Linked DNA regions of Drosophila melanogaster. The protein of the gene in region 1 interacts with the protein of each later gene in a pairwise test. Each region holds a gene or a part of one and is shown in the gene's direction. Other genes may lie near its edges. The genes, in order: Rbpn-5, CG15728, Exo84 and Uro.

Region 1 (4,977 bases):
AGATGTGGGTGAACCATCGGCGCGACCACTTGTACATGCCGAAGGTCATCTTCTCGCCGAAGCTCAAGCCCGACTTTGTGATATCGAGGAAGCCCTCGTAGCCCTTGGTCATAAAGTTGCCGTATCCGAAGGGATTGGCCATTGGTGGCCAGTAGGGTCCCTGTGTTCCATTGCCCGTGAAGTTCGTTTGGGCCGTATAGGGTGGCTGGGCACTGGGTGGCATCGATGCCTGGCTCATTGCCGATCCGCTGGTCAGATTGTGGATGTTGATCCTGGGCGGTCGATTTGCCCGCCGTGAAGGCGGCGGTGTGCTGGGAATGGGTGTTATGCTCTGGGTTTGCGACATGGTCGGTTTTTTTTTTGGTATATCCGGGAATCTATATGGATTCGCTTTGCAATTTTCTAATTGATATCCGTAGGAACTCAAAACATTGGGCACTTTATGGTCATTATTCAAGTTCCGTTCACATACATATATCGCGGCGGTTGTACTTATATATTTGTATTATTTTTAAGTTTATAAGTAGAAATGCCGTCGCGATTCCAAGGCGCCGCGTATTTATTTCTTCGCGTACTTTTTTTTCCCGCTTCCGACCGCCTCGTTCCTGAATCCAATGCGAACTGAACAGACGCCAAATATTTTGGCCAACATCGCTGCTGTTGTCGCTGGGCATAATGCTGTAGTATTTGTATCGGCCACGAATCTCCGGCTGCCGACTATGACGACATCGAAAGTCATGAGCTCACAAGCCTGCCAACAAGTCCAAGACCTAGAAGACCCAACGGATCTCAGCGTACACTGACGAAAAAAATGGTCTATGTAATGCCTAATGCTATGATTTAATTAATATTATTGGCTATAAGGTGGTTAACAAATGTTTAAAGTTAACATTAGTTACAGCGTACAATTATTTTTTACCTATCGACTAAAATGTTTTCCAATTTCTGGTAGTGTACAGCCATGATAATTTTATAATTAGTCAAGTTTTCGGCTTCCTCAGCCGATGCCGAAATTCTGAAATCGAGTTTTGTTCTGGTTAACGCGTAGTTTTGTTATCTCAAATAGTTTGCTATATTGTTATATTTAAATATGTTTTCTCATTAGCTAGGCATTATTGAAGTATTCATTTTCCTCTCATAATTTATCAGCTCTTAGCGTTTTCTCGCGTTTCTGGCGCTTAATAATTTGCATAAAATTAAAAGAACTGACGGTATTAGTCATTCATGATCGGCAGTCATTTACCTTTTCATAGAATTGTGTCTAATATATTCTGCCGTTGTCATTTGGCTTACACACAAATGTTGAAACACTTTCTAGGAAATGCTTAAGAAAATCCTAAATAATTAAGAACGATTAAGATGCAATTATAAACATTATACAAATTTAAATTATATGGTATTGTTTATTTATATTCCTTACCCATTTGTTTTCTTTTTCTATTTATAGTTCCTGATGGCTGATGATAACAAAAAATTCGAGGAATATCTAGATTTAGATTTTAGACTAAGATATAAAAGGACAAAGGAGTGATTTTAAAGGATTCCGACTTTTAACTTAATAAAACGGGTTCTTAAAAAGGACACATTAAAAGGACATAAAATAAGAATACATTTGCAAATTGGCGAAGGGAAATTATTAAAACTATTTTACCAAGTATCTGTAAGTAAATATTTTAAACTTTCTATACTTCTATAGAAAACTTAATCCCAAAAGATGTTTATCAAGCTCAATAAAGTTAGATTTTGAAAACCTTTTTTAACGGCACTGCCAAGCAATACTAAAGTATTAACTATCGGTATTATTCAAATATGGTAACACCAAGAGCAGTGTTGAAAATCGCTCAAATGTATATGTTCTAATTGGTGCGCTCACATATGTACATATAAACTAATAAATTGGCCATCACACAATATAGAAAATGGAAGAAAACGAGACCCGGTCAGAGGCCAGGGAACCCACGGACCTGCCCAATGGTAAGGCAGCACCACAGGAAGCCTGAACAGCCGATAACTAACCCATAACTCCAACGGCAGGTGAGGATGACGCGACCAGCCAGCACAAACTCAGTCACCTGCAGAACGAGATGCGCAAAATGCAGAACGAGTTCAACACGCAGCGGGCGAAGATGCGGGAGCTGTACATCCAGAAGGAGGCGGAGGTCAGCCAGAGCCAGCAGGAGCGACGGCAGCTGCAGGCGGAGCTGGACGAGCTGAAGACACACCTAATGGTGGCGGACCTTAAGTCGCAGAACGAGCTGCAGCTGAGGGACCTCAAGGCGCAGGAGGAGATCTCCTCGCTGCAGCAGCTGGTGCAGGACACTATCGAGGAGACCGCGCACTACAAAGGCGAGGTGGAACGGCTCAGGCTGGAGCTGGGCAAGTACCAGCAGATTCAACAGCAGACGATGGCTCAACAACCGCAGGCCGAGTCATCTGGCGGTATAGCGCCGCAGGTGCTCAATCAGGTCAAGAAGACACTAGGCTCTGTGCGTAAACTGGGCACCGACTCCCTGAACAGCAGCTTTCAGCAGGACGAGGACACCCGGGCATCGAGCAAGGGCAATGGCAAGCAATACGTATGTTTTCGGGACTAATCTTTCAACTATCAAATTAACTGAGCTTATATTGCAGGCTCCTGAGGAGGCGGAGATGATGCACTCAATTGTCGAGCAGCTTCAGGAGGAGATGAAGGCACTAAAAGTGAAGCTGCGCGAACAGGACGAGCAACTGCAGGCCAAGTCGGCGTCCGATGAATCCGCCCTGCACAAGTCCACGTCCATGGACGTCGCCGAGAGCGCCTGCGAGTCGTGCAGCTTGGCAGAAAAGAAGACCGAAGAGCTGGGTGCCCATATAAACAAACAGCAGAAACAGGTGGATCTGCTGCAAAAGCAGCTGGTGGAATCCCGGGAGACACTGGTTAAGGAGGCGGCATTGCGCAAGGATCTGGAGGACCAGTGGCAAGAAAAGCGGGAGGCCCACAAAAGCGAAGTACAAAGCCTGCGTGACCAGGCCAAAACCAACGAGCAGCGACTGCTGGACATGCAGCAAAAGTTTCTCGAGACCAAGGACGAGGTTATTAAGCAGATCCAGCGCGTCTCCGACGACCGAGAGCGGGTCAACAAGCAACTGGAGACGTTGCAGGCGGACAACGACTTTCTGTCCGGTCGCTATCTGGCCACGTCCGAGGAGATCGACAACCAATATATCAATCTGCCCAACACGGTCGTCGAGCTCCAGGAGCTGATACTGCGACAGCAAAGCGAGCTAATCCAAGCACGCGTCAGCAGCGAATACGAGCGACAGAAGTGCACCAGCACTGAAGATGAGATTCAGATCTTGCGGGCCCAGCTGGAGGAGAGCAACAATGAAAGGCGGGCCTACAAGCGCAAAATGCAACTAGATATTAAGTCACTGCAGTAAGTTACAACCTCTTGTCTATGGTGGTGTTCACTTTGGCCCACGTTTTAAATGAATTTTCAGGGATCGGGTGACGGAACACTTGGTCACGGTACAAGCGTACGAGACTACCAAAACCCAACTGGAGCGCAAAGAGGCTGAGCTGAACAAGCAGCTCTCCGAGTGTCGCGTGGAGATCATTGAGCTGCAAGAGGCCAATGTAAGCTATCATATTTTGTTGTCACACTTGATTCTTCGCTAACCAGATCACATTACAGGAAAAGTACGCCAAAACAAATGCAGACTACAAGACGAAGATAAAAACACTACAGGAGGAACTCTCCACCATGGAGACTGTTCAAAAGGACTTTGTCAAACTATCTCAAACGCTTCAGGTGAGTGAGATATAAAAATATATGGTTTATTCACTTAATTAATTACATTGTGTTGTGCCACAGATGTCGCTGGAGGAGCTGCGGCATGCCGACACGGAGGTGCGTTGGCAGGACGATGACGATGTGAACAACTGTCCCACGTGCAATGCCTACTTCACGGTCATGGTGCGCAAGATCCATTGCCGGCACTGCGGCCACATCTACTGCGATAAGTGTCTAACGAAAACGGTGCCATCTGGACCACGGAAGCGAGTGGCCCGAGTCTGTGATATCTGTCACACGCTGCTCACGCCAAACACCGCACCCTACTTCAGTCAGGGACAGCCGCCGCAGCAGCAGCAAGGCCAGCAGCAGCAGCAGCAGTCCAACTAGGCGTTTGGGCTCCAAGCCCAAGTGATTGTGTATTATGTGTGAAGTACGATTACGATTAGTTGGTATCTCCTTGAACTCTATTGCTCTATTTCTGTGCTCCGATACTACGATTACGATCCGAGGTCAAACCTTTCCAATGCCCATTTCCATTTGCCAATGTCTATTTCCGATTTTGTTGTTCCATTATTTTGGCCCTATACATAACGTAAGCGATGAGTTGTCTATGTTAGCTTTCGTCGTAGGTAAGTTTTCGTAACTGAATTTAACTCAAAGCAAATATACAAATTAAAAACAATTAAATTTTTGTTGTTTGTCGCCGCACATCTCTACTTGAACCAACTTTGCCTGCAATAGAGTTGATATCAAAGTAATGAATTGAGTTGTTTAATTCAAAGGCGAGCCATGCAACATAAAGTTTGTGTTCTTGTTTATTTAAAAATGCTAAGAAAAGAGTTTGTAAATTATTGTTAACAATTGTATTTGTGTCTTCATTTGGTTGCGAGGAGCTAGGATTGGTATAGGTATTTGCTAAATATTAAAACGTAATAACAATTTCGGGCATGCCCATATAAATTCAGTATATACAACTCTCACTTCAACTACCAAATAATGATAAACTAATACTGCAATCTCCGCACTCAACGAAAAACGTTAGCAACTACAGACTTCACAACACACGCACAAACACGGAGGGGGGAATCACACTACTTGAGTAGCAATTACGTCTTGTTTTGGCACACATTGTCTGCGGAAGAGATAGAAAAATGATTACCCAATTAGCCCGTCGCCGGGAGATAGCTAGATTTCAATTCGA
Region 2 (6,305 bases), on another chromosome or scaffold:
GGGAAAAATGGCTGAAATGCGAATGAAAGGCAAAGGCGAATGGGATGGCAAGCAAGTTAACGTTGCCATGAAATCGTCTATGAAATGTGAATGTAATCTAATGAATAAAATGCATCTGCTAACCCCCATCATGCCAGCCACTTGCAGATACAGATAGATGATGGATGATTCTTTCACCGGTTTCCTTCGCGTTTTTTTTTTTTTTTTTTGATACCGCAAATTCTCACATTCATGCGGTTCATTTGCGCAGCCATTGAGATTTGAATGGCATTTTTAATTGGTACATTTTACGCAGCCATCCTTTGAGCACAAAGGCACCTCCTGCTCCACCAGCCCTTCTCCTTTGAGCTGGCCATCATTCAATTTGATTTGTATTTATTTAATGAGTTATTAATTGCATTAAGCTCTCGGCGTTGGAGAACTTTGCAACTAAAAAAAAAAAGGAATAAAGCCGGGAGAGTGGGGAAAAGTTTTTCGGCTTTTGCTCGCATTCAGGCTGAAAACTACGAAACTAAAGAGTTCGTACAATTTGCAGCTTTGAAAAAAAAACAACAGAAAATGCTAGTGCCAAAAGTGTAGCATACTTTTCTGCGCACTTTTGCCTGTGATTATGAATTTGGGTTTGGCCGACTAAAGAGGCGCGAGAACTTCAAGACTAGCCAAAACTATTAGCAAATCTAAATCTAAATTATATTTCCAAATTCCAAATTCCATCTTTCCATCTTACATTTGTTGCCTCTGTTACTTCATACATTTAAAATGGTAAGCAGCCCACGTAACATAAAATTATATTATATATATATATATAAATAAGTAAATAAATAGCAAGGTGTCAGAAATACAACATAAATATTCTTGAGATCTAAACAAATTGGACTTGTTAAAGTAATGATTGTTTTGGGCCGCATAAGTATTGTAAAATAATAAAGTTACCACAGAAGGCACTTGACTTTGGCCATGAATGTACTCACTTTACTCACAGGGGAGGAACTGTCAGTTACTCCCTGCCATTATATACCAATTTCAATTTAAATTCCAGCCTGCTGTGGCCCATCCGCGGGGCAGAAACAAAAATATATATATATGCATGTATATAAAAATAAAGGAAAAAAAATAGAAGTGAAGTTCGGAGAAACCGCAACAGCAATTCTCGACATAATGATTGTGTTGAGGGGCGATTATGTCATCATGGATGGGCAGGGCAAAAGGACTCGACACACTTGACTTCCGGTTGGAGGATGGCTGCGAGATGTTTGCCATATTGTGTGAAAATTTGTGTTTTCCCCCGTCCACTGCAATTGGCGGTGGTGGTTTCTCGTCTCGTTTTTGTGATTAAAAATGTTTGTCATTATCCGCTTGGAAAATCGTCCGAAATTGTGTTTGTGCCGCGGGCCGTGCCACACTTGCTTATTTCAAATCTGGCATCTTTATGCCTAATTGCCGCATTGTGTCCCATTGTGCGGCCATCGAACCTGTGGATTGAATCGAATCGGATCGAATCGAATCGAATCGTCTCACAGTCTCAGCCTCGAACCCCGACTGAGCCATACAGGTTGCCTCTGGCTAAGAGTCCATGGCTAAGGGAAAGCCACTGACTATGGCTTTCCATCGATCAGTTGCAATTTGTTGCAAAAGCGAATAGTGGTCAGCGGAATAAAAAAGATACCCATTGAAATATTAGTGAGCTCCTTGATAATTTGCTAATAATTGACGAGGAAGTGAGAAGTAATTTCATTGTACAAGTGAAGTATTCTTCCGCCAAGCTAAACATTTCATACAAAACGTACAGGTATGTCCAGTTTTAATTACATTCATTACGATTCCTGCCCCTTTTGTATATAAACTTTGAGATCCCCATCCATGGGGATGAACTTTATGAGACTCCTGAGCTCCTCGAACTGCATCTAGATATTTTAGAATTTTTGTATCTTTTCGTTTGATTGCTAATGATATAGTGAATCTCAAAGCATTCTCGCTTGTGCCCACCAGGAGCATATTGATCTCAAGGATTCGCTTGAACTTCTGGCACTGATCAAAAAGATCCCAAAGCTTTCTTTTTTGAGTTTTTCTTTGGTGCAATTTCCAGGTCATCACTCTCTTTCACGCTCCTAAGCTCCTAGAACTATCTATATCTATATATTTGGAAATTTATGTATATCTTTTTTTTATTGCTAATGATATAGTTATTAGAGCATATTGATCTTAAGGTCAAAAATAGTCCTAAGCTGTTTAAATAAAGGTTAAAGTTGGCCACAGCACTTACATATACATACATACAGGAAACTCTGTAAAACATGAAATTCTTTATTACTTGGGCACTTTTTCTTCATTACCCCCATCTTGCAAATTCTTTAAAACTGTTTCTAGTTACACAACGCATATAATTAATAGAAAATCAATATGTTTACCTTACCGAAAGAAATTCGCTTAGTATCATCAGGGCCGACAGAAATATTAGACTTATTTTCTTTGCAAGGGTCTATTCGATTTCTTATGTCGCGTCTTGCAAAAGTGGCTAATTCTCAGATGACATTTCGTGATAATTGGTGGGTGGAACGGTTTGGATTCCACTTGCACTGTGGCTATCATTTGTATACATACATCATACTTTCCAATTGTGTAAACAACAACTTCATTAGTAAACAAAAAGTTCGCTGGGTGGTTACAGAACGCAAATCCTAAGCCCGAAAACCGATTCCCTTTCAAATGCCACAAATCAGTAAATAATGACATGAAAATCTGTTGGCTTTTGTCAGGCCCCGCGGCCTCGAAGACCGAAAAATGAAAAAGTTAGTTGGATGGGGGAGGGTTTTCGGTTGCAAAAGTGTTGAGACAAGTGGGGTGGACAATTTGCCTTAAATTAGGCGTAAAATGCACAGATTGGTTACAACAAACAGCGCACACAAGCGGCTCATCAGTTCGGTCCACCCTCAAAAATTAAAGGGTAGCTACTTGCCACTTGTCATCACCATCTTGATTATTATTATCATCGCCATCCGACGGGAACCGGATATGATTGTTAGTATCTATTAGCACAGTTGAACCTCCAAATGATGGTTCCATAAATAATAATACCAGTCTTGTCATTTTTTTTTTTAAGTAAGATAAATAACTACAGTAAAATTTTTCTTATGATGAGCAAAAATACTCAAATGGAAAATGTAAACATCTTTTCAATCTTGTAGTAAAATAAAAATGTAAGCATCTTTTCCACTTACGGATGTTTGACTGTAATTGGCCTGGTCTGCGTTTCCCGTTCAACTTGCTGAACAACCCTCGCTAATTGAGCACTTTTGTTGCGTTTAATAGAGGGGGATTCTTGGGTTTTTACACTTGACGTAGATTTTTAGCTGGACGCTGATATAATAGATCATATTATGCTATAGATGTTCCCAGTTGATTAGCATACAATCGCTTCGCAAGCAGTGGCAGCTAAATTGAGGTTATGTTTGCAAGCAGTTCAGAAAGAGAGGGTTATATGTTGCCTACCCCTTTGCCATTTAAATTTGATCAACAAATACATGTGCATAATTAAAAACAAAAAGGAGAGCATAACACACACACACACACACACAGAGAGATTGCAAAAAAGTTGTTAATCTTTTCATGCCGACGCATAATTAAAATGTGAATATGGAAATTTCAATAGGAATCTGTGCAAAAAATGCCCCAAAAAAATAAAGGGGGCGATAAAAAAGCAGAAGAGCAGAAAGAAAAGACCAAGCAAAGGACGCACAAACACACACACACACACAGAAACTTAACGGTTTCCTGCTGTTATGGCCATCTTGCTTGCACCTCTTGCGCTTTTTACCGCCAGTTCGTTTGCGTGCGTGTGTGTGTGTGTGAAAGCAAGTAATTGCGAAATATGAAATATGAATGCATAATGAGCAGATATTCGCCAAGTGTGCAAGAAACTTGAAGCGGCGATGGGCGTGGCAGGTGGAAAAGTGGGAGTCGGAAACGGAGGCCAGGTGACTTTTATGCTAAAATGCGCACATCGCGCGTGCATTTGCATTTTGCCAGCCTTTTCGAAAGCAGTGCAAGGACAAGCACAAATACACACAAACAAAGGCGGGCACACACACAGGCAGGAAAAATCATAACTACAGTAAGCGTCCGATAGCAGCGACTCCTCTAAGTCCTTCAATTTTATGCGATTCAACTAGAAGTTCAACACAAAAGTGTATTTTGTCTAAAAATGAACATAACTATATAATTATAATATTTTAATATATTATTACAAAAAATTAATTTTAAATCATGGAAGATGTACATAGGTTCAAGGTTCATGAATTCAAATCAAAAGCTTCATAGTTAATTCCTAGACTTTTCAATTAAAAGTACCCACTTGCTGATTTCACTGTACTCGGCTTGGCCAAGATGGCAGCCAAGTGTGTTTGAAAAACATGTCAAAATGTTGTGGAGCTCATTAAAATAGCGTTGGCTATTTGCACACATCATATCTTTCAGTCACTAATTTGTAGAAGGAGGAGGAGAAGGTGAAGCAGCAGCAAATCCTTGAAGGCGCCTTTTCCCTGTTCAAAAGTAATGCATAACTCCCTTTTTCCAGCTTTTTCCTCAGATAAAATGGCAGAATACAACATGAGCCACATGGTGCGACCCCAGGGATTCAGTTTGGAAGAGCTGCGTCAGACTATGAGTCGATCGGCGATTCGGGAACAATGCTACTTTATTTATGCCACCGGCAATATTCTGGAGGTGATCCATATTCATATCATAATCACATTATCTAATTTATTCACATGTTCCGTTAGATTATATCTGGTTTTGATGAACTGCTCAACCAGGAGGGGATCCAATTCGGAGCAGATAAACTGGCTGCGGTGTATGTATGCGGTTTGATGGTTTATCTACTCCATCATGAGGACACGTCGGCCACCCAGGTGAAAAGAACTCTTTTCCTGCAAAAGTGCTTCAATTATATGGCATGCTCCGAGGAAAGCCATGTGAGTAAGCATATATATGTTTGAAATATATATTTTTTGATCCTTCCCTTTCTTTGCCCAACAGATCCACCAGGTATGCGTCCATGTCCTGGGTCTCTTGGATATCCAGAGTTCGAGCACAATGCTCAACCTGATCCTCGGCTGCCGCGTGGCCAGTCCGCTGTGCACAATGGCCAGCGTTGTGGCTAACTGTCTGCTCTGGGCCATGTTGGATCATATGTCGGACTTGGGCCTGGACTTGCACCGATTGCGTCCGGCTAACACACTGCTGCTCGTCGTTGCCGTGGTGAAGCCGCATATTTATGTAATATCCTATTTGCATTCCCTGCACCTGGTGGTCCGTTTGATATCCAGCATCCTGCTGATCGGACCATTCAATGCCCAGGGCCAGCAACTGTGCCAGGAGACCGATGTGCCGGAGGATTATATGAAACTGGCCAGGGACGATTGTTCGATATTAGTTCGCTGGCTAATCGCGATCGTTGATGAGCTGCGTCCGCTGATGGTGGAGAACAACGATTTGGGGCATCTGCATGAGCGCCTGGTGCTTTTGGAGTCCATATGTGAGCTTATGCAGCTCTTGCATGGCCATTTGGTTAAGTGTTACCAAGGCAAAAGTGGACCACAATGTAAGTAATAGCGAACGGAAACAAAGAAATCTGTTATAAATTCAGATACTTTGATGAGAAGAGAATTGAAATCTTCAATAACTTAACCTAACCTTTGAAACTTATTTCAAGAAACAATCGCATCGTATATATATGCAATCAACGATTTTATTATACACAATAAAAAGGCTCTAGCTTTAACTATAAAGTTACGAGGAAAACTCTAGATTTTGCAATTTTAATGATGCTACTTCTAAAAATGCAAGCACTTAGTGATTTGAATATTTCGTGTAAGCGTAAAAAGCTCTGGTAATAGTCCTCCTGAACTATGTAACTATTCATCCAAAACGGAATCCAGCCATTCCTCCACACCGTTTTTGCTTGCTGCCGATGAGGGTGTGGCCGGCTGCACCATAGGCATTGGCATCGTAATGGTTCCAGAGCCTATATCCAGTTGCGTATCGGTCATGGCCAATAGCTCGTCAAGTTCATCAGGTTCAGCTGCTGAGGCAGCAATTGGTTTTTCCGCCGCTGCAGGGGCAACGTCCTTATTGGACTTAGCAGAGGGAGCTCGCGACTTGGCGCCCCCATTGGCGTCCTTCAGAATGCACTGCTGGTAAACTGCCTCAGCCCGTTCGGCGGCCTTCTCTTGGGCGGCAATCTGAGCGCGGGTGAACAAAGACGCCGGATAATCCATACGCTTGTATAACGGAATCGTTTGCAGACC
Region 3 (5,037 bases), on another chromosome or scaffold:
AAGTTTTCTTATTTATACAAGTGCTATGTGATTTTCATTTTTCAAGTGTTTTACATATTTCTATAGTACCCAATAGTACAAATTTAGGAAAGTACTTCTTTTTATTCAGATAAACACAATTTTGCATTTATAGTTAAAGCTGAATATATGTATATACATATATATATAATTTCATGATTTGGAAATTCCTTTTTCTTATTTTATTGAAGACAGGCATGAAACGTACATATCTTTTAAAATACCGAATATTGTATAGCTCTAAAGTAACAAGTATTGCGAATTTGTTTGTAGCTAGGCTGTGCGATTGCAGCACTACCCAGTTCTTTCCATTATAGCTTGTAAATGCTAATTACTCATCGATTTTTCAAACACGCAGGGAACGAAAATCACAAGCATTCTCTTTAATATAACATTCGCTTCTGGGAGATACAAACGGGTGGTGGCTCTTACATAAAGTGGACAGGCAGTGGTTCTTAGTAGCGGCTCAATCCTTGCGCAGCTTATCCAGGCGCGCCTGAAGATCCGCATCGGCATCGGACATGGGCGATGAGGCACCACTGCCACCGGGAGCTCCCGGACCACCAGCGCCGCCACCACTAGCTCCACCTCCGCCGGCGGCTCCACCGCCGCCAACGCCACCAGCGGCCACAGCCTGTGCTTTCTGAGCGCCAGCGCCGCCGGCTATGGAAAGGGAACCGGAGGCGGAAGGAAGGTCTCCCAGCTGTTCGCCCAATTGCAGACCCAGTTCGTCCAGCACCTGGGACACAACAGCATCCGTCTCCTCCTCGTCGCCCTCGTCCTCCATGGCGTCATCGATGGCATCGTTGATCATCTCCTCCTTCATGTCCATCATTTCCGACTGTTTCTCGAAGTCCTGCAGGATCTTCTGGATTTGCGGGAGATTCAGCTGGCGGTTCATGTTCTGCATGGCCTTCGTGACACCTGGAAGATAAGCATAATTGCTTGATAAGCGGGTGAATCAGCCAAATAGCCAATGTTTACCTTTCATGGCCTGTGCCATTGTGTTCTGCGACTTGAGCGTCTGAATTTTGAGGGACACCGCCTGGATGTTTGCCTTCATCAGCATGAACTTCTTGGCATACCGCCGCGTGCGCACCAGATCCTTGGCCATGATCTTCACGGCATCCATTTGACCCTCCTTGGCCATCTTCTTGATATCCGCGATAATCTTCTTCTCCTGCTGCTCCATTTTCATCCGCTCGCGGTCCAGATCTCGCATCGCTTTGTTGAGCGCCCGCTGATTCTTACGCAGCATCTCATCGGGGCTGATCTTCTTGCCGAATAGCCAGTCCATGTTTAAGGATATCTTAACTGCAAGATTTAATTACGAAGAATGACGGAGTTTCCTAAAGATTACTCATCAACCAAAACAATAAGCGAAGGGTGTGCGCGATTCTAAGGTGGCCAAGACGTGTTGGCGCTTACATGCGAATAGTGCTAGTGGGAAGAAGAAGCTTTGCCGGTGCACTCTGAAAGAACTGTTCACACTTCAACTTAGTGAATTAGCAACAGGTGGAAAATAATTTTAATTTATTACAATACAACACACACACATTGTAATGAATAGTATACATATAGACATATGTCTTCTTGATTTTTAACGTAGATCTTTGACGTAGTCGTTTATATTTAAAAGTTCAGTTCGAATAAAAAGTATTCAGGGCTTCAACGCCTAATCATACCTAAGATGAAAATCCGAAATGTAAATGCGAATAAATTTGTTGATCTCTAAAAGGTCTTTGACGTAGCCGTTCAGTTCGAATAAAACTTTTCATAGGTTTTAAATCTTAATTAATCTCCTATTACTTAAAACTAAATAAAAATGTTCTAGATTTATAGATTTATCTAATACCAGGGAAAACTGCAGTGAAAACATGGCATTTTCTATAGCATCAGCAACCTTACAATCGACACCTCATGATGACGCTCGTTCGTTGTGAATGGCTCTGCGTCAGCTGCAGTTTACATTCCAATCAGAATCATGAAGGAGTTCGACGATTTTAATTTTAGCGTTGAGAAATGTAAGTATTCCTATGTCTATTTAGCATTAATCAGTCTACTAATAAGTACAACGTTCCCAGATACCAAGGACCTGACACGAGAATGTGTGGGTGGCAGCGATTTGCAGCAGCGAAAAAAGGAAATCGAGGCCTACAACGAAACGACGGCAGCAACGCTCAAGCAAACATGCAAAAAGAACTATATGGAGTTTATACAGACGGCCAAGGAGATATCACGTAGTTTACGCCCCCCAATATCAATATACATTTATGTTAATATTTTCGCATCGCAGATCTCGAGTCGGAAATGTATCAACTGTCGCACATTCTGATTGAGCAGCGCAATATTCTGGCCACCATGACGGATGGCAAGACTTCCAGTCACCTGAAGGCAGAGAGTTTGGAGGCGGAGAGCACTACGGCGACGGAGGATCTGGAGAATAGCCATGCCACGCGGGCGGTCAAGGAAATGGTCCAGGGCTTCAATGGCAATCTGGAAGGCAAGACCTTCCTCAACGAGGGAGCTCTAATCGAGTTGGACAGTAATGATTATCGACCCATTCAAAGGGTCTTCTTTTTCCTCTTCAACGATGTACTGATTGTCTGCAAAGTGAAGCATGATAAGTAGGTTTTCCTATACTAAAGCATATAGCAAAAACTAATAGTAATATTTTTCAGGCGCTTGGATTTCCTCACCGAGTACGACCCCAAGAAAATAGCCGTGATTAACATTAAGGACTTGGATGGCGTTAAGAATGCCATTAATATCATTACTCCAGATGGTTCCAAGATCTATCAAAGCATCACGGCTGCTGGGAAGACGGAGTGGATAGAGAAGCTCGAAGAGGCCTTCCGCTTTGACCAGCAAAAGAAACCAAAAAAGGGCCAGGCGCCACAGCCTCCAACTCGGGCCAAACAGCAGTCAAAAGCTTCGACTCCGGAGAAGGAAACCACACCCCAGAGTCCCGGACAGCCCAAATCCCTGGAGGATGAGACGCCCGAGTGGCTAAGCACGGCCAGTGAAGAGATTCAGACCCTGGTGGCCCAACGGCATTTCGAGGATGCCCAGGAGCTGATAAAGCGAACCCAGGACTTCTTGCGAAACGAGAACCGAAAGAAGTTGCCACTAGCGGACGCCATTGAAACCAAGGTGAAGCAGCAGGAGCTGAAGCTGATCAATGTGCTGCTCAAGGAGTTGTCCAACAGTCACAATCGCAATCTGCAGATCGCTCTGAGAGCAGCCAAGCGGCCTCTGAAGATTCTCGTAGAGATGGGTCGCTATCGGCAGGCGAGTGCCACTCTGCTGAAGGTCTGCGCCGTCAGTTTGCGGGTGGCGCAACGGGAGGCGCGCAGGAATAATGCGGATATATCGGAACTCTTCTTTTGTGACCTGACGCAGGTGGCCTGTGATTTTCTCACCGCCTTTGAGAAGCAACCGGCGTGCGTTAGCGGTAAGCTTCATTCCTATTTCTGTCTACATTTAAGTATTACTACTATCTAATTCTTGCAGCGCTCGTGGTTTGGTGCAATGCGGAGCTGCAATATTTTGCCAGCCAACTGATAAAGCATTACCTGACCAAGGGAACCTCCCTGGAGTCAGTGGCCAAATGTGTGGAGCGAGTGCGCAAGCCCTCGACAAAGCTCACAGAGATCGGGCTGGACATTAGTTATCATTTGGAAGGTCTGTTGCGCACTACACTCGAGTCGCTCATAGAGGAATCCAAGGAGCGACTGCTGGACTCCGTGGGTCGCACCGAGGAGAGCTGGCAGCCGTACAATTTGCAGACCAAGTCGAACCTGAAGCGTCTGCTCCTGGAGCTCGATGTCTTGGGTATCGATGTGCGAGCCCAGGCGACGGGCGACACATGGATTAATCTCACCCAGTCGACAGTGGTTTTCATCAGACACTTCCTGCAGCTCACCGAGTACTGCGGCTGTCTGGCCAAGTGCGAAACCCTGCTGCAGAGCCTGGAACTGCTTCTTAAGGAGCTGTTCATTGCCCAGCATTCGTTGAAACCGCCCAGCGACATGGCCGTGGATGTAAGTTAGAAAGCAGCTTAAATAAAACCGCTCTCTTCAAGAATGCCATTTTCAGCCCAACTTTGTAATGAAGAACAAGATTTTTCTGGTGGACAACCTGCTGCCCATCGCCATCGACAAGTTTCGACAGATTTCTGGACGCCAGTGCGAGGGATTGCGCGAGTTGCACACGAAAATGTCCCGCCAGCAAGGTGCTCCAGTGCCGCGCCAGCGCAGCGTCTACACCACAGATGTGTTTTAGATGCACGCCGTGGGATTTACTTTCGATTACATATAATTTTTTATTTTTTCGTTTTGCTTCAATTATTTATAATATAATTATATACATATATAACCACAATAATAATAATATTTGTAAAATTAAAAATCGAAGCGTGTGCTGCACTCTATCTCTTGCTTATTACAATTTCGCCGCTCGCATTATATATATAATTGTAAATATATATAAATCGATTCGTTTTCTGTTTTTCATATATATACTCTAAACACTAAACAATTTAGCTGTGTTCTACTTTTCGGTTTCGGTTGTTGATGCGGCTCTCTCTGTGTTGGGTTTAGCTGCTCAAAATATAGGATTTTACACTTGGTTCTGAAGAGTTGAGTTTGATTCACACAATTAATTCCTCGATTTTCTCATTACACATTTTCTCAAATTACATACAAGCAAAGCGGACTGCTCTGAGCTTCTAACTACTGACCCCCAATGCGAGTGAGTGTTTCGAAAGTGGTTTCCGTGTTTAATTTATAATGTAAAACTCTTAACTAAAATGCTTACTAAGTATATTCATTTATAATTATATATATATATATATATATATACCTTTTATGCAAATGTGTTTTGTGTTTTTCGTATGTTGTGTTTGTGTGTGTGTGGTGTGTGTTTGGAGGGACGTTGGGAGGTAAGGAAACTGACAACTTAAAATTACATTTGTTGTTGCATTCGCTGTCTGACTTTTCAGCTAAATTACAAAAACCG
Region 4 (3,670 bases), on another chromosome or scaffold:
AAAAGCTTCATAAAACTACCAATCCATTAGATTAAATTCCAGGCGGTACATCTTTTGGGGATGATTCATGTGGCAGGGGTTCTCTACTCGTTTACAATCATATCATCATCTTCAAGATCATATAGTTTATCATATCAGTAGAGTACTACAATATAATGCATAAACTAAGCCAAATAACTTTATGACGCGTGCTTATGCGAAAGTAAACTTTATTATCAAATTTACTTAACCGTGAAATCAAAACCTTTATATAAACACGAATATTATTATCTTTGCTAAATAAAACTCTCGCTTAACAAACAATGACACTTCAATTCCAACATAGAGTTTATCTTAAGCCAATAACCAAAAACGGAACTTACATAACTTGCCAACAAACATATGAATATAGCTATTTCGGATCGTGGGAGACCATTATGCATACAAGGCACGCTCCTAAAAACCGTGTTAAACAAATATATGTCAAATGTATATCTTAAAAAAGCGCGCACATATCTTTTGAAATATCTTCACCCAGAGTATGTATGAGATTAAACTGGATTAGCACTAAGCCACAGCTTCTGTAGATAGAAATTTTATGCAGAGAGTAGATTATTTGGCTGCTGAGCAATTTGACCACCACAAGATAGCAGAGAACATCTGACATTTTCTATATCCATATAATAAAACTGACTTAACACTAAGCTGAAGTGGTATGTTTAAATCCTCCAGCTAATAAATCGAGACTAAACGCCCTATCTTATAGTGATATATAATAGTATCTATATGTGTATTGTCATTTACTGTTTATGAGTATTTGAAAAAACCATTCTATATTTTATAGGTTAGTTAATAAATATTTTGATATACATATGTAGATTGGCTCACACGTACTTATGACCCACTACATAATAAAATTGTTTTGTTTTTTAATAGAATAATGGTTTATAAAAAGTTTAGACTCACACGGAAATGATAAACTCTTTGCAAATACAGCTTTCATTTTATTACAAATTGCACTCTTTCAGATCTGCAGTTGCTATGCCAACCTTTTATTCCCTTTACTAAAAGGGTATACTAGGCTTACTGAACAGTATGTAACTGGTAAAGTAAAGCGTTTCCGATTCTATAAATTATATATCTAAACTTTTGATCAGTCGAATCCATCTGAACACATTCTGTCACATTAGATTATTCCAGAAACTCAACTTAAACATGTGTATTTTTTAAGACCATTATCAAGGATATTAAAAATGGTCTCCTAAAATTTAATAAACAAAAGTGTCACATCAAATTTAAGACGTAAATTAATATTTTTTTTCTATGGTGAAATAATTGTTATTTTCCAATGTTGTGAAATAATAAATGTATCTTTTCAACGCACACATTTTCAAGGTTTTAATAATAATAGTGACTCGTGCGTGAATAAGAGAGAAATTAAGATTTTAAAAAAGAATAAAATTCAGAGATGTGATCTGTAAAAATTATTTACCAATTTTCATTTACCCCCGAAAGTGATGCTAATGGTTAAAACGGCATTTGCGACTTATCTCCTACGTAATATTGCAAAAATAAGGATTTGGTTAGATGAGTGTGAAGTAAACAAGATGCAAAGTTTTGGAGATAGAAAACATAGCCTTGAGTCTTGGTCATGTTTACTTGGCACCAGGCCGCGATTATCAGCGCTACTAGTCGTAATTTGAGTTAGACCTTTAATACTCTAAGTGAGAGTGATGATATACGATTTCCCAGCCACTTGCTTTCTACGAAATGCGCTAAAAAAAATCCCTAACTACACAAAGATTTGTGTTGTTATCCAGGTGTTCTGATATAAAAGGCGGCAAGGAAATTGATGGCATCATCAGTATCAAAGTGAGAGTGATTGCAGTCACAATGTTTGCCACGCCCCTCAGACAGCCAGCTGCGGCTAACCACCAGACCCCAAAGAATTCCGCCGGCATGGATGAGCATGGTAAGCCGTATCAGTACGAGATTACCGATCACGGATACGGCAAGGATGCGGTCAAGGTGCTGCATGTCAGCCGCAACGGACCCGTGCACGCCATCCAGGAATTCGAGGTGGGCACTCACCTGAAGTTGTACAGCAAAAAGGATTACTACCAGGGCAACAACTCGGACATCGTGGCCACCGATTCGCAGAAGAACACCGTCTATTTGCTGGCGAAAAAGCATGGCATTGAAAGTCCCGAGAAGTTTGCTCTGCTCCTGGCCAGGCACTTTATTAACAAATACTCGCACGTGGAGGAGGCGCACGTTCATGTGGAGGCGTATCCCTGGCAGCGAGTTTGCCAGGAGGAGACCAGGACCAACGTCAATGGGAAGTGCGAGAACGGAGTCCAAGGGAACTGCGACTTCAGCTCCATTGACAACAGATCACTGCACAATCACGCTTTTATATTCACGCCCACCGCTCTTCACTACTGCGATGTGGTTATAAGGAGAACAGGTTAAGTCAAACATAACTAAAGCAATAATATTTAAAACTACTAAATTATCACCTCCTTTACTGTTTTAGATCCCAAACAAACGGTCATCACGGGCATCAAGGGTCTCCGGGTGCTGAAGACGACCCAATCCTCGTTCGTGAACTTCGTGAACGATGAGTTCAGATCTCTGCCAGATCAGTATGATCGCATCTTTAGCACCGTGGTGGATTGCTCCTGGGAGTACTCCGATACCGAGAACTTGGACTTCCTCAGGGCCTGGCAAACGGTCAAAAACATAATCATTCGTAACTTTGCTGGCGATCCGCAGGTGGGCGTGTCCTCGCCCTCCGTTCAGCACACCCTGTATCTGAGTGAAAGACAGGTCCTGGATGTCCTGCCGCAGGTGTCGGTCATTTCGATGACCATGCCAAACAAGCACTACTTCAACTTCGATACGAAGCCCTTCCAGAAGATTGCACCCGGCGACAACAATGAAGTTTTCATCCCAGTGGACAAGCCACATGGCACCATCTATGCCCAATTGGCCCGGAAGAACATCAATAGTCACCTGTAGATCGATCTCTGATGTAGTAAATCTAAATCAATCTAAATCAATTTAGCCAATTCATAATTGCATGCGGCGAAGTTATATATGTATTTTAAATTATTTAAGCAAACGAATCATATGCTGCGTTCTTCTTATTTAAACAATAATAAACTAATAAAAAATAAAGTGTAAAAATGAATAAATCGATTGCAAAACCATATTTCGAGATCACCCTTGCCTTGGCTGAATAAATCCAAATTATATCAGAACTATTTTCTAAAATCCTAAAATGAGGCATCGTTCATAAAAAAAAATATATAAAATAAATTCCACAATTTTCGACCACTTTGGCAGTCAAAATTCGCAATCTAAATTCGAAATTAGCAAATAACCATTTAGCCACAAACAGCGTGACCATGACCAATCGACTGGCCTTGCACCACATCCTGACCACCCAGCTGCGAAGGGACTGGGAACAGGAGGAGAGCGCCAAGACCAGGCTGTCGCAGCTGTCCAGGAGGGACAGGATCAAGGCCTCGCTAAGATCGAGTCAGTTGCCAGGACGTTACCTGTTGCCCGACACCAGAAAGACCTACGACAATATGGTGGCCAATATTCACTCGACCATGAAGTGTAAGCTGTTGTGCTAAAAACTAACCAGAAACTTTCAAAACCAATCAATCATTTACTTAGCGGT

The links.
Region 2: the proteins of Rbpn-5 (region 1) and CG15728 interact in a two-hybrid assay, tested with the Drosophila melanogaster proteins (one large-scale study listed by BioGRID).
Region 3: the proteins of Rbpn-5 (region 1) and Exo84 interact in a two-hybrid assay, tested with the Drosophila melanogaster proteins (one large-scale study listed by BioGRID).
Region 4: the proteins of Rbpn-5 (region 1) and Uro interact in a two-hybrid assay, tested with the Drosophila melanogaster proteins (one large-scale study listed by BioGRID).

What each region holds. Positions count from the first base shown.
Region 1 is NT_033778.4:21,087,869-21,092,845, reverse strand, and holds Rbpn-5 (Rabaptin-5), read left to right. Parts: upstream 1-1,841; 5' UTR 1,842-1,919; coding exon 1,920-1,974; intron 1,975-2,034; coding exon 2,035-2,576; intron 2,577-2,631; coding exon 2,632-3,416; intron 3,417-3,480; coding exon 3,481-3,616; intron 3,617-3,674; coding exon 3,675-3,791; intron 3,792-3,854; coding exon 3,855-4,163; 3' UTR 4,164-4,460; downstream 4,461-4,977.
Region 2 is NC_004354.4:12,622,643-12,628,947, forward strand, and holds CG15728 (uncharacterized protein), read left to right. Parts: upstream 1-1,649; 5' UTR 1,650-1,789; intron 1,790-4,450; exon of another isoform or gene 4,451-4,502; intron 4,503-4,573; 5' UTR 4,574-4,590; coding exon 4,591-4,722; intron 4,723-4,778; coding exon 4,779-4,970; intron 4,971-5,034; coding exon 5,035-5,607; 3' UTR 5,608-5,803; downstream 5,804-6,305. Other genes in the region: Aven (apoptosis and caspase activation inhibitor), read right to left, coding at 5,913-6,305.
Region 3 is NT_033777.3:26,049,195-26,054,231, reverse strand, and holds Exo84 (exocyst 84), read left to right. Parts: upstream 1-1,974; 5' UTR 1,975-2,002; coding exon 2,003-2,042; intron 2,043-2,102; coding exon 2,103-2,261; intron 2,262-2,314; coding exon 2,315-2,645; intron 2,646-2,699; coding exon 2,700-3,472; intron 3,473-3,531; coding exon 3,532-4,061; intron 4,062-4,116; coding exon 4,117-4,302; 3' UTR 4,303-4,501; downstream 4,502-5,037. Other genes in the region: Vps2 (vacuolar protein sorting 2), read right to left, coding at 485-942, 1,003-1,315.
Region 4 is NT_033779.5:7,778,246-7,781,915, forward strand, and holds Uro (urate oxidase), read left to right. Parts: upstream 1-1,839; 5' UTR 1,840-1,872; coding exon 1,873-2,446; intron 2,447-2,515; coding exon 2,516-3,000; 3' UTR 3,001-3,170; downstream 3,171-3,670. Other genes in the region: CG7164 (uncharacterized protein), read left to right, coding at 3,390-3,606, 3,667-3,670. UniProt on the Drosophila melanogaster protein: Catalyzes the oxidation of uric acid to 5-hydroxyisourate, which is further processed to form (S)-allantoin.